Neurospora crassa OR74A: one gene and its partner. The protein of the gene in region 2 purifies or fractionates together with the protein of the main gene of each other region. This does not show direct contact. Links are inferred from orthologs where the notes say so. Each region holds a gene or a part of one and is shown on either strand. Other genes may lie near its edges.

The links. The genes of interacting proteins can lie anywhere in the genome.
Region 1: the proteins of NCU04485 (region 2) and NCU03961 purify together in Saccharomyces cerevisiae (affinity purification with mass spectrometry, with the first as the bait; 3 studies listed by BioGRID). This does not show direct contact. The link is inferred for Neurospora crassa OR74A from reciprocal best matches to the Saccharomyces cerevisiae genes ESF1 and ENP2.

Annotation. Positions count from the first base shown.
Region 1 is NC_026506.1:2,245,952-2,249,928, reverse strand, and holds NCU03961 (WD repeat protein), read left to right. Parts: upstream 1-1,177; 5' UTR 1,178-1,284; coding exon 1,285-1,316; intron 1,317-1,376; coding exon 1,377-3,282; 3' UTR 3,283-3,552; downstream 3,553-3,977. Other genes in the region: NCU03962 (hypothetical protein), read right to left, coding at 1-51, 125-163; NCU03960 (hypothetical protein), read right to left, coding at 3,553-3,842, 3,910-3,977. UniProt on the Saccharomyces cerevisiae protein: May be involved in rRNA-processing and ribosome biosynthesis.
Region 2 is NC_026504.1:3,204,099-3,208,289, forward strand, and holds NCU04485 (pre-rRNA processing protein Esf1), read left to right. Parts: upstream 1-1,391; 5' UTR 1,392-1,459; coding exon 1,460-3,622; 3' UTR 3,623-3,868; downstream 3,869-4,191. Other genes in the region: NCU04484 (hypothetical protein), read right to left, coding at 4,106-4,191. UniProt on the Saccharomyces cerevisiae protein: Involved in the 18S rRNA synthesis. Required for the early cleavages at sites A0, A1 and A2.

The DNA of each region.
Region 1 (3,977 bases), on a different chromosome or scaffold from region 2:
GTTGGCGGCAACGGGTTCGTAAACGCGAAAAGAAATGGCGGAAAGATTATTCTGCAGGAGAGACGCGTGAGTTAGGGGGGGGGAGTGGGAGGCGGTGGTCCGAGGACGGGACAGGCCAGCATACAATTAGCAAGGTATTGGTATCATAGTCGCCAGTGTCCATATCTGAAATAGAGATGCCTTTGGAGGCGGAGTCGCAGAAGTCGTAGTGACCATGCACCGGGCGCGAAGGCGTGTTAGCGGAGTGGGATGAGGGCGCATGTAGGCCGGCGACGGCGGCCTGAGGGACGGTGTGATGGCGTGTTGGGATGAAAGTCTACTGTGGCGACGCTCAGAAGTGGAAGCTGTGGAAGCCGAACTTCAAACAGCATGGATGATGAACTCGGTAGTTGTCTTGAGCTGTACGTCGTTGGGATGCTGGACTCCATGGCAGCAAGGCCCCTGTCCATACAGCGCGAACCGTCGCGGATCACCGACCATGCGCCCACGAGGTCATTTGCGGGTTCGGGACCTGGGAGATGGGACGGAGTGAGGAGCTGTAAGGCGGGAGGGGGATGCGATGGGATGACGGGATGCGATATTACTGTAGGTTAGTGTCGTGGGACTGAAGGATGGTGGACATCGGTTCAGGTAGGTAGGTAGTTGGCGGTCCGGTGGTAGTAACGAATACGGTGACGGCGGGCAGTAATCGTGACTTCACAGCCGCCATCGAGGTGGCCGACTCGAATCAAAAGGAATTCGGTCCAGTAAAGTCCATTGCAGTCAGTTGGGTTCCAGGTCGGCGGGATGCCCTGCCCGCCGATGCGACAGGCGAACAGCCACGCAGGCAGTTAGGTTCGGATCAGCGACGGGGGAGGACCCACACTACCTCTAGAGGTATCCACAGCTGAAAGGACCCTGCTGCCAAGCACAATCCAGGCCTGCCACCTCACCTACCTAGAGGCACCCGGCCTAGGTACTGCAATGACCTGCTGACGGCGACGCCCGCCTACCAGAATTCAAAGGTCCACCACGGGCAGTCCTCCCGTCCCGCTTCCTCTTCAAGCCGCCTTATCGCCCTACTACCTTTCGCTTTATCGCCGGTGGCTCTCCGCCTTCCTTATTTGGCGACCATGGCACTTCTCTGAACTTTTTGCAGATTTTCTGCCGCAAAAAGTTCAGATACGGGTTAGGGTTGTTCTCCAAAACTTCCCATTCAGCAGATAGTAGCAGTTGAAGCTTTCTCTGCTTTCTCAACATCTTCCATCCTTGCCCCATCCCTCATCACCAACAAAACCACCCATCATGAAATTGACAAATCCCGGCGCGGTGCCAGTGTACGTCTATTTGCCATTGGAAAAGAGAGATCCGCTGTGAAATGCTAACCATCATCGCAGATACACCGTATCTGGGCCGTCGACTGCGAGACCCCTTCCAGAATGGCTTGCCCGCCGCAGAAAGAGATCGGCCAAGTACGAGCCCGAAGAACTCAACAACTTCGAGCTCCTCCAGAACTTCGACTTCGAGGAGGCCAGCAACTGCGTCCGTGTCAGTGAAGATGGCAACTGGATCATGAGCTCCGGTACCTACAAGCCCCAGTTCCACGTCCACAACACACAGGAACTGTCGCTGTCTTTCGCTCGCCACACCAAATCCGAAAACACCACCTTCATTATGCTCAGCCAAGATTACACCAAGAGCGTACACCTCCAATCCGACCGTTCGATCGAATTCCATACCCCCATGGGATGTCACTACGAAGTCAGACTCCCGCGCTTCGGCAGAGACCTTGCATATCTCCGTCAAAGTACAGAAGTGCTCATTCCCTCTGTCGGTTTGAGTGCGGATGGTTCTGGTATGGGCGAGGTTTTCCGCCTCGATCTGGAGCGCGGCCAGTTCCTGAGGCCATGGCAGGTGGATGTGGGTGAAGATGAGCCCGGTGCTGGTCTTCAGGGAAGCATCAACGTCGGAGCTGTTAATGTCGCGGCCGTCGCCGAGTCCACACACGGTCTTTGCGCCTTCGGAACGACCGTCGGCACAGTCGAGTTCTACGATCCCCGTAGCAGGAACCGCGTTGCTGTATTGGGCGGCCAAGAGGGCGAAATCACTGCGTTGGATTACAGCAGAGACGGTCTCTCTCTTGCGCTCGGAACAGGCACGGGTATTGTTCAAGTTTTCGATCTGAGAAACCCTCGCCCGCTTATGCGGAAGGACCAGGGCATGGGTCTTCCCATCAAGAACATCATCCACTTGACGACTCCTACCGAGGAAAAGAAGCTTCTCACGGCCGATAAGAGAATCATCAAGCTCTGGGACGAACAGAGTGGCGACCTCTGGACCTCAATCGAGCCGACCGTTGACATTAATCATGTGGCGCATGTCCCCGATTCCGGCATGCTATTGACGGCAAACGAGGGCAAGCAGATGCACAGTTTCTTTATTCCCAACCTTGGCCTGGCTCCCAGGTGGTGCCATTTCCTCGACAACATGGTCCACGAAATGGAGAACGAGAAGCGTGTCGACACATACGACAACTACAAGTTCCTTACGATACCCGAACTCAAGCAGCTCAGCTTGGCTCACTTGGTTGGCAAGACCAACCTGTTGCGTCCTTATATGCACGGTTACTTTGTACATTCCAAGTTGTACGACCAGGCTCGTCTCATTGCCAATCCGTATGTCTGGGAAGAGGAGCGGGCCAAGCGCGTCAAGGAGAAGGTTGAGAAGGCTCGCGAGAGCCGTATCAGAGGTGTCAAGAAGGTCAAGGTCAACCAGAAGCTGGTTGACAAGATTGTTGATCGTTCCGACAAGAAGAAGATTGCCGCTGGCGTCTTGGGCGATTCTCGTTTCGGCAAGCTGTTCGAGGATGAGGAGTTCAAGGTCGATGAGACGTCCAGGGAGTTCAGAGCCCTCAACCCCAGCACCCAGGTTGGCGGACAAGATGTCGCAGTACAGCATGTCAAGGACGACTCTTCAGTTACCAGCAACAGTGACGATGAGAGCGATCCGGAAAGCGAGGTCGAAAGCAAGAAAAAGAAGAGCAAGAAGAGCAAGGATGACGTGGTCATGCAGGTCTCGTCGTCCAAGATTGCGGGCGGCAAGGCGAAGGATACGGCATTCGGCCAAAGAGCTCCAAGGACCGGGCGCGTCACTAAGACCCGAACGGACGTGGTCGGAGAGCAGAAGATTACGTTCGTGCCCGAGTCCAAGAAGAAGAAGCAGGCTGAACCCGAGGCTGCACCAACACGGAAGAGACATGATGGGAGGCGAAGTGCAAGCACGAACACCTTTAGACGACTGTAAAACGCCAGAAGCTTATTGGTCCAACCCTATATACTATACATGTGAAAAAGTCATGGTATCTTTCATGTCAACTCCTCCAGGCCGTGGTGAACCGGCCAAGAACATCATTGCCGTCCACGGCACACATTTCTTTCCGAATACGAGTCGCAAAGCAATAGGCTCGCGCGACCAGCGATACCCAAAATATACCCCAAGCTTGCCATTTTCGTCATCAAATGGTTCATTATATCTCAACTCGTGCTGTCTGATTTTCTCTTGCGCCACACCGGCTCACTTCCGACTGAAGTTGATGCGTGTCTTTCCTGACTTCTCCGGCTTCCCCATGCCCTTTTCCAAATCCAGATGCTCGGGTTTGATGCGCGGGGTGGGTGGCACATCATCGATCCTTACACGGCCTTTATGTTGGGATCTGGTTGATCGGAAAGATCCCTTGACCGATCTGGGGAACTCGCTGCGTCGTGGGGTCAAAGCCGTGACGACCCTCTTTGCCGACTTTCGAATGGTCTCCCTGACCTTCCACTCATTTTTCTTTGCCAGGAAGAAGAGAACTGCGCTACCGACTGTTGGAGGGAGGGTCAATATCATGTCCGGTCAGTGCAGTATTGCTGATGGGCGAGAAAGACTTACCACCGAAGATGGTGACGACACAAACAACCACAATGATGGCGATCAGACCACCTTGAGATAGCCCGACG
Region 2 (4,191 bases):
GGCAAGCGACGCTGGCACGGCCGGGAATGTGGTTGACAGAGGTCTCGAATGTCGTTGATGGCTTCGAGTCAATGTCGCGTCCCAAACAGCTGGGCAGGATGAAGAATACAAACACCCAAATCCGGACTCTGTGGTTCACTCTGTTGATGAAGAAAGGCGTGCTCGGTGTCTCACGTGATGCAGGCATTGTTGATGCTTCTCGCTTGTGAAAATGCCAAGAACATCATCGACATCTGATTTAGGGTTTTCCGGGGTTGTGTTGGCAAGGCATGCGGAGTCGATGACACCCGGAGAGGCATTCCGGAGCTCAGTCCTAGGGACATTCGCCTCGACTCCCGCCTTGGTAACCCCACCTGACCATCACCAAGGATCTCTTTCCTGGTTGAGCGCAAACAAAGAACAGCTTGGACTTGGTCCGGAAGTTGTGTAATGATGATTGCCCCTGAAGTGAGGAACGAATAGTGGTGGGCCATTGATTCTCGGATGGGGACCAAAGAACAATTATAAGTCTTGTTCGGACGCCCTTCATCTTTTGGACTCGCCATCCAACCCTCATTAACCATCCGGTTCATATCTCAGGATCCCACGTCCCAGACACATCCTTAACAACCCATCCGATAACGCGGCACTGTCGACCAGGTTCTTCCAACTTATACAAACCATGAATCTGGAGAGCTACTCACGACTCATTTCCTCCGACCAAGACGAAGACGTCAAGGCAGAGAATAGGGCTTGCACAACGCTATTGTCGCTCTTGATGCTTGTTGGGATCCTTACGTTGGGCGCAACGATGTGGCATGGGAACAGTTAAAGAACTGAAACCTGCGTAACATCTTCGGTAGGTAGTCAATCCGCGAACACTGTCAATTCATGCGATATCAGTCGTCCTAACGAGTGGAAGGTCCAGATTCGATGACCAGCGACAGCGACAGCGGACAGGACTGGATGGCCGATCGGTGGGTGGGTGACGTCGAATGGGAGTTCTCTGGTCATAAGTTGAAGGACGGCCGATGAGGCATGCGATGACAGGATTATACGTTGGATTCCGAATGACGGACAAGTTGATACCCGAATTTGTTGGATTGGATGGTCGAGGACAATCATCGACGGGATTGCTGGAGGACGATGGCGTTTTTGGAGTTTTTCGAGGTTGAACAGCCCTGCGCTGACAGCGTCAGTGGACTTTGGCTTTTGACGGAGTTTTTAGCGGGCTCCATTTGCTGCATGCCAGGGCACCAATGCGGGGAAGTGGATTGATCCATAGCACAGGACTTGGCGTTTTAGGTGGGGCACCTTGACATTAGCATGTGCAGACCGCCTTTGGCAGAATCAACAACGCTCCACTAAAATTTTCTCGGACTTTGCGTGCTGTGCACATGTCGGGTCGAATCTGCGAGTTTCCTTGCTGCCGTCGAATCCTCGATTTTGGATCGCATCAGTCACCATCTCCACATCCACCATGCCCAAAGATAACAAGCCTAAAAAGCGCGATGGCGCTCCTGCGATTACCGATGCTCGCTTTGCCAACTTCGAGACCGACCCGCGATTCCAGCTGCCCTCAAAAAAGAACCTAAAGACCAAGCTCGACAAGCGTTTCTCCAAGGTTCTCAAAGATGCAGAGTTCACCGCCGTCGCAAAGGTCGACAGGTACGGCCGCAAGCTAAAGACCGACACCAAGAAGAAGGCTTTGGAACGGCTGTACGAGGATGAGAGCGAGGACGCCACAGACAACGAGGCCAAAGAGAAGGCCAGCAAGGGAAAGAAGGACGAAGCGGAAGACGAGAGCGACTTCGAGGTCGAGGACGACGACATTGTTCAGCGCGAACTCGAGGCTGCCAACTCATACGACCCTGCCCGTGGCGGCGGTTTTTCTTCATCCGATGACGACTCCGACTCCGACTCCTCAGATTCCGAAGACGAAAAGCCAGAGGTGGAAGACGAGGCTGATGCGGAAACACGACCCGGTATCCGCTTGCGCAAGGATAAGGAGGCTGTTGAGGAAGGCGAGATCACAAACAGAGTTGCCATCGTCAACATTGACTGGGACCATATCAAGTCGATCGATCTATTCGCCCTCTTCTCGAGCTTCGTGCCCCCAGGTGGTCGCATCGAGAAGGTATCTGTCTACCCTAGCGAGTTCGGCAAGCAGAGGATGCAAAGAGAAGAGCTGGAGGGTCCTCCCCAGGAGATCTTCAAGAAGAAGAGTGACTCCGATTCCGACAGTGACTCGGAGGACTCTGATTCGGACGAGGCCATCAAGAAGGAGCTTCTTGAGGAAGGAGACGACCAGGACTTTGACAGTGACGCCCTTCGCACTTATCAGCTCGACAGGTTACGTTACTACTACGCCGTTATGGTTTGCTCCGACAAGAACACAGCATACAAGATCTACGAGGCGACGGATGGCAACGAGTATCTTTCTTCTTCCAACTTCCTCGACTTGCGATTTGTCCCCGACGATGTCACGTTCGACGACGAACCCAGAGACGAGTGCGACAGCGTCCCTGCGGGGTACAAGCCGGTGGAGTTCGTGACCGATGCTCTCCAGCATTCCAAGGTCAAACTCACCTGGGATACGAACCCCGAAGATTACTCAAGAAAAGAAGCTCTCAAGAAGGCCTTCACCGGTAGCCGCAACGATATCGCCGAGAACGACTTGCGCGCTTACCTTGCGAGCGACAGCTCAGACGACGAGGAGGACGAGGAGGAGAAGGAGCAGTTCGAGGCCGAGGGGGCCGCTGCCGAGGAAGCAGAAGAGGAAAAGACACTGTCCAAGAAGGAGCTTGCCAGGCGCAAGATGCGCGCTGCTCTTGGTCTTGCTGACGAGCCCGTGGTAAAGTCCAAGAAGGATACTCCGGTGGGCGAGATGCAAATCACCTTCACGCCAGCACTATCCGCCAACGACAAGAAGAAGGGTGACGAAGATAGGGAGGAGACGACCATCGAGAAGTACAAGCGCAAGGAGCGCGAGAGAAAGGAGAGGAAGCGGCAGGAGATGCTTGCTAGGAGGGAAGGTCGCGATCCCAACGCCGCTCCTCAGCAGGAGGAAGAGCAAGGCGACCAAGGCGAAGATCTCGGTTTCGACGATCCATTCTTCACTGCTGAGCCTGTGGTGCCTTCCAAGACGGCGATTCGCAAAGAGGAGAGGCTCAAGAAGAAGGCTGAGAGGGAAGCTGAGGAGGCTGCCAACGCCGCCGAGAAGGCACAGCTGGAGCTGCTTATGGCTGATGAAAACGGTGACAGTGGCCGTCTCGATCACTTCGACATGAAGCAGATCGCCAAGGTCGAGAAGGTCAAGGGCAAGAAGAAGGGCAAGAAGGGCAAGAAGGGCGTGGAGGGCAACGATGGTCTCCAGGAAGAGTTCGCCATGGACGTCGAGGATCCTCGTTTCAAGGCCGTTTTCGAGAGCCACGAGTTCGCTATTGATCCCTCTAATCCTAAGTTCACGGCTACTCAGGGTATGAAGAAGCTTCTTGAGGAGGGCAGAAAGAAGCGCAAGGATGGACCCAGTGTTACGGAGAAGAGTGAGAAGAGCGCCAAGAAGGTCAAGACTGACGACGCGGATATCGATGGTCTGATCAACTCTGTCAAGAGGAAGGCGAAGGCGAAGGCGAAGAAATGATTGCATCACGGGTAACAGCATATTAATGGCAAGTTTTTGATTTCTGTTGGTTCACATCCATCTGTCGTTCCTCCACTGTCCAGTCTTGTAAATGGTCCTTGGGTCAATGTGGTTTAAATTCAGGTCATGTAGGGTTGCTCCCTTTGTCTTTAATGATCGTCCCCTTTTGTGGATGAGGACAGAACCACGTACAGCTACCTCGCAACTCTTTTCCACTTCACAATGGCGGCCATAATATGTGGTACTCGAGGTCCATCAGTTCCTCATGGCCATGTAAGTTGGAGCTTTTGTTGTCGAGATGTTTGCCTTTACCTTTCTTAATCTCTCTCCCCGAGGAAATAACTCTGTGTGTCTGGCAAAACCCCTGGAAAGACACTGGGCCTCCGACATTCTTCCCTCGACAATTGTGTTCGTCTTATCCATAGCTACCTCTTTTCATCGTCCTTCGAGGTTTGCAAGCGATTCTCAACCTCCGGCCAGTCGTCAAGGTTCCTCCGTCAGATCCACAACCGGAACCTCTTCCCCTCCCATCTCCACCGGCAGCCACTCCTCCACATCATCCCTCGTTC